3 linked regions of the Ovis aries genome follow. The protein of the gene in region 3 interacts with the protein of the main gene of each other region in a pairwise test. Links are inferred from orthologs where the notes say so. Each region holds a gene or a part of one and is shown on either strand. Other genes may lie near its edges. The genes, in order: AP1S2, UBL7 and AP1G1.

Region 1 (4,345 bases), on a different chromosome or scaffold from region 3:
ATATCCAAGGAGTTTATACATGAATAAGAGATTCTGAAAGTCAGATTAAAAGGCATATCGAATACCAGTCATTACGGATTTGCGGGGAGAAAGGAGGGGGAGGTAAATGCTTATCTAAATTCAGAAAATTACTCACACAATTTAAAATACTGACTTTATTTTCCCCTGCAAAGAAATGAATTCTTTCAGTTTTCCTAAAAAGATGATTAAGCATGAAGTATCATTTATGCCTTTAGTTACATAATTTCGTTTAAAAAGAGTCCCATGATTTTATCATTTCACCAAAACAGTAGTTATCTTAAAAGTACAAAGCTTTACCTTAAGACTATTTCATTTATATCTTTAGTAATCTTTATTTATAAATGTAATCTCTTGAAAGTCTGCAATTTCCACATTATAAATGATCTAATAACTGATTCTATTTCATCCTTCTAATAAATAAAAATTATACCTTTTGTAAACAATCTTCAGATCTCGCCATTCAAGAAAGCTGCACATTTTAGGTTTCCGTGCTAAAACGGTTTGAACAAGTTCTCTTGTGATCTTTTTCTTCTCTTTGTCTGATAATGGGACATACCATTTCTGCAGTCGAAGCTTTCCCTGACGACTAAAAAGCAACATAAACTGCATCTGTTAAGATAAACAGAACCAAGATTACAGGCAATACTTTGATTCAATAAAGTTAAGATTAAGATGACACGTGGCAAAGAGAAGCTTTGAGGGACAGGGCGTTTAGCCAACAAATGATGAGTAGCCATCAATATTTCTATGCTAGTTAAAATAGCAGGAAATTCTTGTAGAAAGATCTTTCCACCAGATGCAAATCCTCCCACCTCACCCTGTTCCATTTAAGTTTGGAGGAGAGGGGGAGGACAAAAACAGGTGAGGTGAAAATTCTGATGAAAAAGAAAGATAATTCTTGCAATTTAAGAAACTATTGTGTATGTGTGCTATAGGAATGTATATGGATCAAAAGAGAACTGTTGACATCAACTGGTTTAGATGCATTTGAAATAAACAGACCTACTATTTTCCACCCTACACAGAATAAGCTGTTCTAGAGCCAAACTGAATTACTTGTAGACAGACTGCTATAACTTGAAATGCTGTCTTCAGTTTATGTTTACATATTTTAAGCAAAACAAAAGAACTAAAATATAAACCAAAAAAATCCCATAAACACATTTTTCTTAATAAAAGCCTGATTAAAAAAATTCGCATCTCATTTTAAAAATTCCAACATAAATATACACACAATAAAGTGAGTTAATATAGTTTTACGGAAGAGAATATAAACCTTTAAAAAGCCAAACTAAGAGCTACACACATTCAGACATTACACGAAATACTTCATTTAAAACGATTTAAAAACATAGCATCTACAGATGGAGTGGATGCTGAATTCTAGTGTATTTCACACAAACTATTTTGTATACATTTATTTAGAATCTGCAAATGATGATTAGTCTACATGTTTTAATTTTTAAGGAAACCTTCTTGTAATTCAGTCTCCCCAACTGCAAACAGAAAGCATTGTTTCTACAAAGGTAATTTAAAGGTAGAAATTAGATATTTTCTTTTCTTTTAATTATTCTAAGTTTCAGTACTAGTTTCTGCAAGTAGGATTCAGCCTGACTCTTGGTATTAACCACACCATACTGAATTTGAACATGGGGTGGGGGAATTTACACCATCCATCTGAATAAAATGGGCGCTAAATTTCACCAAGAAATCATTGCCGCTTTTTGTAATAATCCAAACGGGCATCAATAAGGTATTTAGAAATTTACGATGCGACAATTTAACTTAAATAAAGTTGAAACTGGCTGTTAACATCACACTTAAAACGCATCACTGGCACGAAATAAACGAACAACACTGGTGATGTCAAAGTGCCTCATACAGAAGTCCTGTTAAGACAGCGACATTAGAAAGGGACAGCAAGTAACGCATCAACTGGACAATGTTTCACGCAAACCCGTTAGCAGAACTTGGAAAAGAACAGACCCGTATTCCAGGATCTTGGAGACCAGGAGGACTGGGGGTTTGCTTTTGAAACTCTAGGACTCAAGGGAGTCTATAGCAAGGTCCTCCATCTCTCCCCACCATCACTTTATATGACGAATAAATAATTTATGCTCTTTAAAATAAATTATATGTTAACATAGGATGATGCCTGGTCGCAAGGCACAAGTATTCCTTCCCTCTAGTTAAAAACCAACGCTCCGATTTTGCTTCAAATCACAAGGCGCCTCAATTCCTGGAGATTGGTATTAAAAACAATGGGCTCGGCCGCGGAGCGGGCTCGGGGCCAGGGGCCGTTGCCTGCCCGCCGCCCCACGGGGCCGCACTCCATCACTGACCGATCGAGCCCGGGCGAGGTGACAAGCAAGGAGCGGGGAAGACAATGGCAACCGCCGCCGCGCAGGGGGCGCCAAGAGTCCTCCGTCTCCGCCGCCCCCGGCCGCCGACCCCGCCCGCAAATGCCCCGCAAAACTTGAGGCGATTCCCAAACCACAGGTGCCGCGGACCCGCTGCAGCGTCCGAAACTGGCCCCCGCAGCCCGGGACGCGGCGCCGAGTGGAGAGGGGCGCGGAAGCAAAGAGAAGTGAGTTTCGGGGCGCGGTGCCCCAGTAGCGGGCCGGGCGGGCGGGCGCGGGGTGGGGTCGTCCAGGCGCTCGTTGGGCGGCGGGGGGCTCGCCCGACCCTCCCTCCCCACTCCCCGACCCCGGTGTCCCCGCTCGCCTCCCGGGACTTACGGCGGCCGCGGGCCGCGACTGCGGCGGGGCTCGGCCGGCGGCGGCGGCGGCGGCAGCGTCGGCGGCGGCGACTAAGGGGAAGCCCCTGTCGCTGAGCTGAGGAAGAGAAGCCGTTTTGCTGTGGGGAGGGGACCCGGTTCGCGGAGGGAAGGCTTAGGCTGAGAGGGGAGGGCGAGCCGACAGACCCCGCCCCGGGGGCCGGACGAGGGAGGAGCCGGGGCTGCGGCGAGCAGAGGGGCGGGCTGGGCGGTGCGCTGGCTGCAGCTCGGCTGTTGCCAACGGCTCCGAAGGCAGCTCAGGTGACCGCGAAGTCCGAGGAATCTGATTGGCCGCGTCTCTACCGAGAGGGAGGTCCGGACCGGAAGCCAGGCCACGTGACCCGGAAGCGGCTGTTGCCAGGGCTGGCGCGCCTGCGCTCTCCTGAGTGCGCTTCTCTGACGCGCGCGGCTGTCGGGTCTATTTTGTGGAGAGAAGACAGTGTTTCACTGTGCCGTTTATTGACCGTACTAAGCTGGGCAGGGAAGGTCCGTACTTCCAAGAACCGCATTCGAGCTCCGACAACTCTCGGTGCCCCGAGAGGGTGGGACGGGGCCGTTTAATGGCCGGTACTGTTGGTGAGGGGAGAGAGGGAGTGCTGCAACTCGGAAGAAAACAAAGCTCTTTCGTGGAGCTCGTGCCCGCGTTTAGAGGGCTTTTTTGCAATTACTTTGCCTCAAAACCACCCGGAATCCGGCCCTTCCCATCGCAGTGCTGCAGTCCTAGACACCTTTTCGCCCCAAACTGCAACTGTCTCTTGCCGGGGCTTGCCTCGCTCATCCTCAGTGCTGCGAACCTGAGGAGTTACTGTCCGTTCCCTGCTGAAAAGCCCGACCGGCACCTCTTCTAGATTCCGCTTCTTTCACCCTCACCTCCCCCACAGCCGCTTGGGTTCCAGTTTAGTCTTGCCGACGACTTTCTCTGCCTGGCATGCCCTTGCTCTCAAATGTCACAGCTCCTATGAAGCCTCACTCACCCATATACCCATTAGCACATCTTGAGTTTTATTCATTTTACATCCCAGCCTAGTTCTCTGCCTGGTATGTAACACCTCTAATAAATGTGAGTTGACTGATAAGGACTCTAAAACGGTAGATTTGTTTGTTAAGAGCCATGGTGCTGAGCATTGTGTCTGGCACATAATGGATGTCCATTTTTTTCGATTGAGAGAGTGGTTGAATCATCCAGTCCGACTCATCTTTTACAGATGAGTAAAGGGGAGCCCCACGGGATTAAGTGACCTTGCTTGAGCAGCCACGGGTTTCTTATGTCGAACGCTATTCATTATCCCAGTCACCGGTTCTTACAAAGGAAATTTAGAATATTGCTTTTGTTAAGCTATGGCCTTTTTGCAGAGGCACCCAAACATAGTCGCCAGAATTTTTTAATGGCCCAAAGGGAAAGTTTTCTAGGAAGCGAAGTTTAATCAATCTAAAGGAATCCTTTATTAGGGATTGTGTTCTTTTCACGTGTGTTAAAATGTCTGTAAAACTAAGTACATAATAGGGATTTGGGGGCATTTTTTAATGCCCTTCTTTGGCAAGATAAAA
Region 2 (4,283 bases), on a different chromosome or scaffold from region 3:
GGTCTGATATTCCCATTGCTTTAATTTTTCAGTTTACTGAAGAATAGAGTAGTAATTAGCTCCAGTGCTAGGCCCTCCCAGAACCTGAAGTTTATCTGCTCTACATAGTCAAGCTATCCTGCTCAGTTGTTGCTTTAGTTTCAGTCCATACACTGGAATGTTGCAGTCCTGCTTTTACGTTTGTGCACACCCAATCAGTCTTTAGTTGCGAGGATCACCTCATTATTTTCTTATATATTTACCTGTTTTTTTTGTTTTTGTTTTTTTGGCTTTCTTTAGTCTTTGAATGAGTTCCTCCAGGAGAGTTCGAACAGAATAGTTTATCTAATTCTAATCTCTGGGCAAAAAAATCTATAACTATGCATCTAAAATGCACTCGACTGTACAATACCAGTTTTACGCACGGGATTTAAGTATTCGCGTATTTTGGTATCCACGAGGGGCTCCTGAAAGCAATCTCCTGTGGATACCATGGACGACGGTATGCAGTTTCTCTGAGAGTTCAGTGAAATTCCCCTTCCCGAACTAATTCTATGAATGACTGATATAAACCCCACTACTGCACGTTGGGGCGTACCAGGAACCCTTGGTAACTTCTCTCAAGGTACCAACTTTTAGGGGAACTCATCGTTGGGTTCCTAGTATGCCTTCACAGGCATGTTCGCCACGAAAAGCCAGAAGCGAGGAGCACAAAGGAAGCTGACTTCACTCAAAGACAGGCCGTTTCCTAGTGAAGATGACAAGGCTGGGGCGAGTCTGAACAAGGATATTCAACAGGGAGTCTGAAGAGGCCGCTCCGGAAAGGGTCCTTGCCGAGCGACGACGGGTCGAAGCAGGAGACCCAGGGCCGAGAGTCCGGAAACCGGCGTTCCCATCTGCAGCGCTGGACGGACCTGGCGTAACCTGCGGACTCTGTATGCGAACCAGGACATTGAAGGAATCGTGGGGCTGTAAACATCACACCTGGAACCCACCTGTCAATGCAGGAGACAAAAGATACGCCGGTTCGATCCCTGGGTCAGGAAGATCCCCTAGAGGAGGGCGTGGCAACCCACTCCAGTATTCTTGCCTGGAGAATTTCACGGACAGAGGGGTCTGGCGGGCTGCAGTGCGTGGGGTCGCAAAGAGTCGGACAGGACAGAAGCGACTTAGCACGCGCGCATGCAAACCTCACGCCAGACCTCGTTCCCGTAACCTGTGTCTTGGAAGACTGACTGATACCTAAGACCCTCACGCGCAAGCTCGAAGACACCCTCGCGCCCGGACTTTCAAACTGCAGAGGAGCCACACCCCCGGAAACCGGAAGCTTTACAACTAGCTCCCCCTTGCCGGCCGGCTGTTTATAAAGGGGCGGGGGTGGGGCGGGGTGGTGGGGCGCCGCCTCAGGAACTGCAACTCCCAGAATGCAGCGCGGAGCTTCCGGTTTCCGGCGAGAGGACCTGAGTGAGTGTTTACACCGGCGGCCCTGCGGCCGGGTTCCTTCCGCGGGACGGGTGAGGGCGCTGGGTCCCGGGCCGCGCGGGATCGACCTGTGGTGACTAGATAGCTGGTTCTGTGGGAGTGGAGGGGTCGTCACCAAAGAGATAGTGTCCCTGTCGCAATATTAACTATCAGTGACCTTGGGCCGCAGACTTCACTTTTCTAGATCTCGGTTCCTTCGGCTGTAATATGTAGATGAAAATGCCTGTCTCAGAACAGTTGTGAGGATTAAATGATACATAGTATATTAAAAGATCCATTTTCTTCCCCGCCATCAACCTGGAGATGGAAATTTGAGGGTGCCTTAGGATCTGCTGCACAGCCTCGAAACCTTTTCTTTCCTCTTCCAAAGAAGCCACTTTGGAAGCAATAATAATTCTAACAAGGGCTTGTCTTGTCTTATTTCTCCCAACCGCCGGGTTTCTGATTCATTTTCTGGATACCCATAAATACCGGGCATTGAGTCAATAAAGACAAAATTCTAGTCTTTGCTTTCAAGAGCCTCTAAGAATGAGATGCAGAGACGACTGAGAAGTAAATAGTATAGGTATTTGTAACCCTTTGTCATGAGGGAATGTGACAACAACAGAGGGGGGAAAGAGAGAGAGAATAGAGGAGGTTGTGTTTGAGTTGCTCTTGATCGGAGTTTGATTAGAGAGGGAAGAGGGAAGAGGAGTTATATGCAGAGTTAGATGAGCGGAGTGGGGGAGAGCTTTGTTTTGAATTCATGCTTGGTGGGGGTGGACTTAAGTGTTGGGAAGGGTGGGGCAGTCCAGAGCTCTTGAGAGGGGAAGGCTGGTAGAGAGAACAGATGTGGATGTTTTTAAAAGCCAGGCTGTGGTGTTTAGACTTATTCATAGAAGTGATTTGAATTCTAAACAGAGGAGTATATTGATCAGATCTGCATTTTAAAATGATGAGTGGCAGCATGGATGTTTAACAGGGAGAAGCAGGAGGCAGGGAGCTTCTGGTAAAGCTGTTGTGGTGGTTAAAACAAAAGTTGATGAAGAAACATGGAGTGTGTGTAATGTAAGGGAGAGGGTTGGATGATCTCATTTGAACTTCACAACGCTCCTGTTAGGTGGGATGGCATTTTTATGTCCACTGTAAAGCCAAAGAGGCTTAGAGAGCTGAAGTTTCCTGCTGCCATAGAATGAGTGAAAAGAGGACCTCAGATTCTAGTTCAGGCCTCCTGATGCTGCAGCCTGAGCTTTTCCAACAGAGTCACAGAGAATTCTCATTCAACCCCTTGGTGGGGTGGGGGTGGTGTAGGTCTGTCTAACCACTAAGGCTTTGTTCCTTTACAGGGAGAAAGAGAGAGCGCGAAAGAGAGAGGATGTCTCTCTCAGATTGGCACCTGGCGGTGAAGCTGGCTGACCAGCCACTTGCCCCCAAATCTATTCTTCGGTTGCCAGAGACAGAGCTCGGAGAATACTCCCTGGGGGGATATAGTATTTCATTTCTGAAGCAGCTTATTGCTGGCAAACTCCAGGAGTCTGTTCCAGACCCTGAGCTGATTGGTGAGTCTCTGTGTACTCGGGATGGGCTTCTGCTCTGATTCTTTTGGGGGAGAATCATTCTGGAATCACAAGTGTAAATTAAGAGTTTGGGATTTGTTGTCTCATAATGTAAACACTGGGCTGCCCTGGTGGATCAGTGGTAAAGAATCTGCCTACCTATCCAGGAGATGTGGGTTCAGTCCCTGGGTGGCGAAGATCCCCTGAAGAACGAAATGGCAACCCAATCCAGTATCCTTGCCTGGGAGATGCCATGGGAGGAGGAGCCTGATGGGCTACAATCCATGGGGTCGCGAAAGAGTCTGACTTAGAGAGTAAACGAAAACAAATGTTAAGCTGGGAAGTGATTGTTGTTAGGTGAATAGAAACAAATCATATAATAAAACTGTTGGTTGCCATTTTAGCTGTACAATATACTGAAATACTTCATCACGACATTCCTTAACTATGACATTCTTTGAAAGAGCAAGAACTTGGGTTGGAAGGAGGTGCTGGCTAGGGAAAGGCCCTTAGTATATGGCATTTGAGGTAAGTCTTAAGGGATGGTTAGAAGGATTGTTGGTTGGTTGGTTGGTTGGTTAGAGGGAAAGTGAAAGTGAAGTCGCTCAGTGGTGTCTGACTCTTTGCAACCCCGTGGACTGTAGGCCACCATGCTCCTCTGTCCATGGGATTTTCCAGGCAAGAGTATTGGAGTGGGTTGCCATTTCCTTCTTCAGAGGATCTTCCCAACGCAAGGATCGAACCCAGGTCTCCCGCATTGTAAGCAAGACAGTTTACCGTCTGACCCACCAAAAAGGAGAGATGGCAAGGGCATTCTAGGTGGAGGAAGAAGGAATTTAAATATAAATTATTTCTTTCTCTTTTTATTTTTGACTATGCTGTGTGGTGTGCAGAATCTTTGTTGCCTGACCAGGGATCAAACCCTGGACTCCAGCATCACTTTCAGAAAGAGAATATAATTAAATTGTATTATTAATGCAATAGCATATAAACTAGAAAAGTGGTATAAACTGGCAAAAAGTATATTTTCAGTCATGCATGCGAAGTCTCTTCAGTTGTGTCCAACTCTTTGCAACCCCATGGACTGTAGCTCACCAGGCTCCTCTGTCCATGGGATTCTCCAGCCCAGCTGGAGTGGGTTTCTGTGTCTTCCTCCAGAGGCTCTTCTTAATCCAGGGATCAAACTCATGTCTCTTAAGTCTTCTGCACTGGCAGGTGGGTTCTTTACCACTAGTGCTACCTGGGAAGCCATATATTATTAATACAATGGCATATAAACAGGCAAAT
Region 3 (3,613 bases):
GGTGCCTCAGTTGTGACCTTTATGGTTGGATGACCTATATGATTTGTATTAATCCTTTAAAGGATAAAAATCTTTTTCAAACTGTGACTCTCTTTTGACAGCAACCTTTGGTGCAAGTGGCTGCATGGTGTATAGGTGAATATGGAGATCTTCTTGTATCTGGCCAATGTGAAGAGGAAGAGCCTATTCAGGTACCCTTTGTCACTCTTGGTTAAGAAAAGGGAAGACAGTGTTTTTGTTTTAAGAGTAGTGTTTAATGCTTTGAAGTCGATTCCTTGAAAACCTTTTAAAGACGCAAGGGTGGAATCATAGATTCATTGGAAAGCTTGCTCAGTTTTCAGTTGGAACCTACTGGGCCATTGTGAGATTTGAAACTCACCTTTAGGTCCCTCTCCCCACCCCATCATAGTGACTTACATTGTTTCTCTTACCTTCTGGCTGAGGAGAAGTGAGAGTGTCATGTTTCCATTTTTTTCTCCCCAGGTAACAGAGGATGAAGTGTTGGATATTTTAGAAAGTGTCCTAATATCTAATATGTCCACCTCTGTGACACGAGGTTATGCCCTCACTGCTATTATGAAGCTTTCTACTCGATTCACCTGTACTGTAAAGTGAGTATGGAGAAAAAGGGTGAATGCGATATATTTTTTAAAAACTTTTATTTTGGGAAACTTCAAGCAAAGGCAAAAGTAGAATAGTAAAATCAACTGCCTATACCTCTTACTCCTCAGTAACAGTCATCACTTCATGGTTAATCCTTATTAGATCTATACTTTGCTCCCTGTCATCCCTTCATCCCACCACTGCTTAATTTGAAGGTAAAAACTAATGTTTTTAAAATCAGGTATCTGATGTCTGTTTATTTTTTTAAAGTACTGAAGTTATTTTCCCATGTAAAGGTTCTGGTTTATTATAATTTGAGATATCTGAATTGGAAGAAAATCATTTTGGTGTTTAAATCTTTAAATTTTGCTTTTTTAAAAAAAGCCACTGTTTTGAATAGAACTCAATTCTTGGGTCAGTTTCCCAGTCAAGCATATTTAATATAAACTTAGTTCTCTCAGATGTTTTGCTTTTGTTTTTAATGTAAAGCCTCATGAAGAATGATATTTTTTACTGTTTAAATTGTGAAGTATAAGAATTTGGTATTAGGCAGTGACACTTTGCTTATAAAAGTCTGATGCTATGACCCTTTTGTTGATAAAAGCTTACTACTGTAAAGTTATTAAAGAAGGGAATGAATACTATAAATTTGTTATTTTATAGCAAATTAATAATTGGTACTTTTGTTTATCAAATTTTAGGGTATGAGATATTAAGATGAACATTTCAAAATTTTAACCAGAAACCTCTGTTTTAAACACTGTTCTTTCTGCTTGTTTATGAATTTTCTTTTGGATGTTTGAATTTGTTTGTCGTTTTATCCCAAAGCCGAATTAAGAAAGTGGTTTCCATCTATGGAAGCAGCATTGATGTGGAACTCCAGCAGAGGGCAGTAGAATATAATGCACTTTTTAAGAAATACGACCATATGAGGTAAGTGAAAGAAACCGAACAATGCATGTGCCTCTTAGCATCCCAAACACTTTCTCATGATAACCCGTAAAGGAGTTTCACCCCTCATGCTTTATTGGTGGGACATCACAACCCCGTTCAGTTCTTGCGGCTTGGCTACTTGTGTTTTGTTCGTCTTCTGTTCTGCCTAGCCTCTAAAGAAATAAGTGAACCGTGTTCTTTTAGTCCCCTTTTCCCCTTTCTCTTGGTAAGGAAAGTTTTCTTCATTTCCATTTTATTTGGTGAAGAAGTGAGAGTTGTTTCATCTCAGGAGAATCTCATTGAGATATCATTACTATTACCATTGTGAACTGCTAATATGTACTTGTTTATCTTTCTTTCATTCCAATTTCTCTGTCACTTATAATTCTCAGGCTCTTGGGATTTAGATGGACAGTTTGTCCATTCAAGGTTTCCTGCCTGCCCTTAATCCAGTCAGGAATGTAGGTCACGTATTCTTGTAATCCAGCTTCTATTTTAGTATATGTGTTGGGATGTGGGGAGGGGAGAGGTCTCTCCACATTTGGCTGGAGTACAGTTAACAGTGATTGTTTTGGGTAGGGAATCTAGGTTAACTGCCTAGAATTTAACCACTTCAGATTCTTCCAGGTCTGCCCTTCTTGAGAGAATGCCTGTCATGGAGAAAGTGACCACAAATGGCCCTACTGAGATTGTACAGACAAACGGAGAGACAGACCCAACTCCTCTAGAGACAAAGCCACCGCCCTCGGGGCCACAGCCCACCAGCCAGGTAGCTTTTCCCTTGCTTATCCTCATGATCTTCTGGTTCCTTAGACCCTATTTCTTAGGTGATTCCCTTCAGTGTTCCTGGGTTGATTGATAATTCTGTTCCCTGTTTTTAAGTATTGAAGGGGCTTTGTGTTAGATAACAGATTAGACAGTGACAATGAATAAGATATTATTTTCTTGTTTAGGCCAATGATTTATTGGATTTGTTGGGAGGAAATGACATAACACCTGTTATTCCAACTGCACCTACAAGCAAACCAGCTTCTGCTGGTGGAGAGCTTCTTGATTTGCTGGGAGACATCAACCTTACAGGTGAGGCCAGACTAGAGTTAATTTCATGCTTGGCCAGGGATAAGGGCCTTAGGGAAAAACTACACTGAATGTAGACTTTCTGTCTAGCACATGAGACAGTTGAAGAATGGAGAGGGTAAGTGACAAAAAACAAGAATCTTCACAACTTCTGGCCTATGTTGCCATACTAATACTCTAGAGGTAATTCATAGAGATTCCTCAAAGTCTAATTTTTAATTTTTGGAGAGTAAATTACTCAGTGTTTTAAGACAGAACAGTCTCAGGCTAGAAAAGAAGCACATCCCAAGAAATACATGACTTTTTCTAGGTTTCTTTCTACTCATGGTTAGTTTCCAAGAGCTGTGGCCTTCTGTGGAGAGTGGAAAGATGTTAACCTGTTTTCCTCTTTCCTTCTCGCCCTTTCTTTCTCCTTCGTGTTAAAGCAATGGAAGGATAAAATTATCCAGGGTTATAATATTCAAACATAACTTTTCATTTGGGGATATCTTATTTTTATTGACATGTAGTAGAAATTTATAATTAGTGTGTCTGCAGATACTGTAAACACAAGAGGTCAAGAGAATATCACTGTAGCATATAATTTCTATCTTAAGTGACTTCTCTAAAAGTAAAATGGAGAGTTACAGCATACATGACCTTGAGTGGAAAACGGCCATAGGTTAAGGATGTTGGATGCTAATCTAGACAGGCTATCACAGACTTAAAGGTTTTTTCCTAACATAACTGCCTCCCAGAACTTATGGTTTATATTTATGTCTTAACAAAATTTCAAAATATTGCTTGTCATTGCTTAGGGCCATTCACAGTCAGTTTCAGATCCCGGGATGCCAAAGCTGTCCTGAACATACGGAAAAACAGGAACAACCCCATTTGAAACATAGTGTTTGGGGACCTTCCTGGCAGTCCAGTGGTTAGGACTCTTGTGCTTTCACTGCCATGTGCCCAGGTTCAGTCCCTGGTCAGGGAACTAGGATCTCACTGGCTGTGTGGTGAGGCC

The links.
Region 1: the proteins of AP1G1 (region 3) and AP1S2 interact in binary tests that used the Homo sapiens proteins (3 or more experiments, as listed by UniProt). The link is inferred for Ovis aries from reciprocal best matches to the Homo sapiens genes AP1G1 and AP1S2.
Region 2: the proteins of AP1G1 (region 3) and UBL7 interact in binary tests that used the Homo sapiens proteins (3 or more experiments, as listed by UniProt). The two-hybrid records come from large-scale screens. The link is inferred for Ovis aries from reciprocal best matches to the Homo sapiens genes AP1G1 and UBL7.

The regions. Positions count from the first base shown.
Region 1 is NC_056080.1:14,009,348-14,013,692, forward strand, and holds the start of AP1S2 (AP-1 complex subunit sigma-2), read right to left. Parts: upstream 2,882-4,345; 5' UTR 2,760-2,881; intron 631-2,759; coding exon 452-630; intron 1-451. UniProt on the Homo sapiens protein: Subunit of clathrin-associated adaptor protein complex 1 that plays a role in protein sorting in the late-Golgi/trans-Golgi network (TGN) and/or endosomes.
Region 2 is NC_056071.1:31,867,894-31,872,176, forward strand, and holds the start of UBL7 (ubiquitin-like protein 7), read left to right. Parts: upstream 1-1,405; 5' UTR 1,406-1,443; exon of another isoform or gene 1,444-1,493; intron 1,494-2,786; 5' UTR 2,787-2,815; coding exon 2,816-2,999; intron 3,000-4,283.
Region 3 is NC_056067.1:38,857,690-38,861,302, forward strand, and holds part of AP1G1 (AP-1 complex subunit gamma-1), read left to right. Parts: intron 1-101; coding exon 102-191; intron 192-483; coding exon 484-611; intron 612-1,431; coding exon 1,432-1,536; intron 1,537-2,163; coding exon 2,164-2,305; intron 2,306-2,489; coding exon 2,490-2,616; intron 2,617-3,613. UniProt on the Homo sapiens protein: Subunit of clathrin-associated adaptor protein complex 1 that plays a role in protein sorting in the late-Golgi/trans-Golgi network (TGN) and/or endosomes.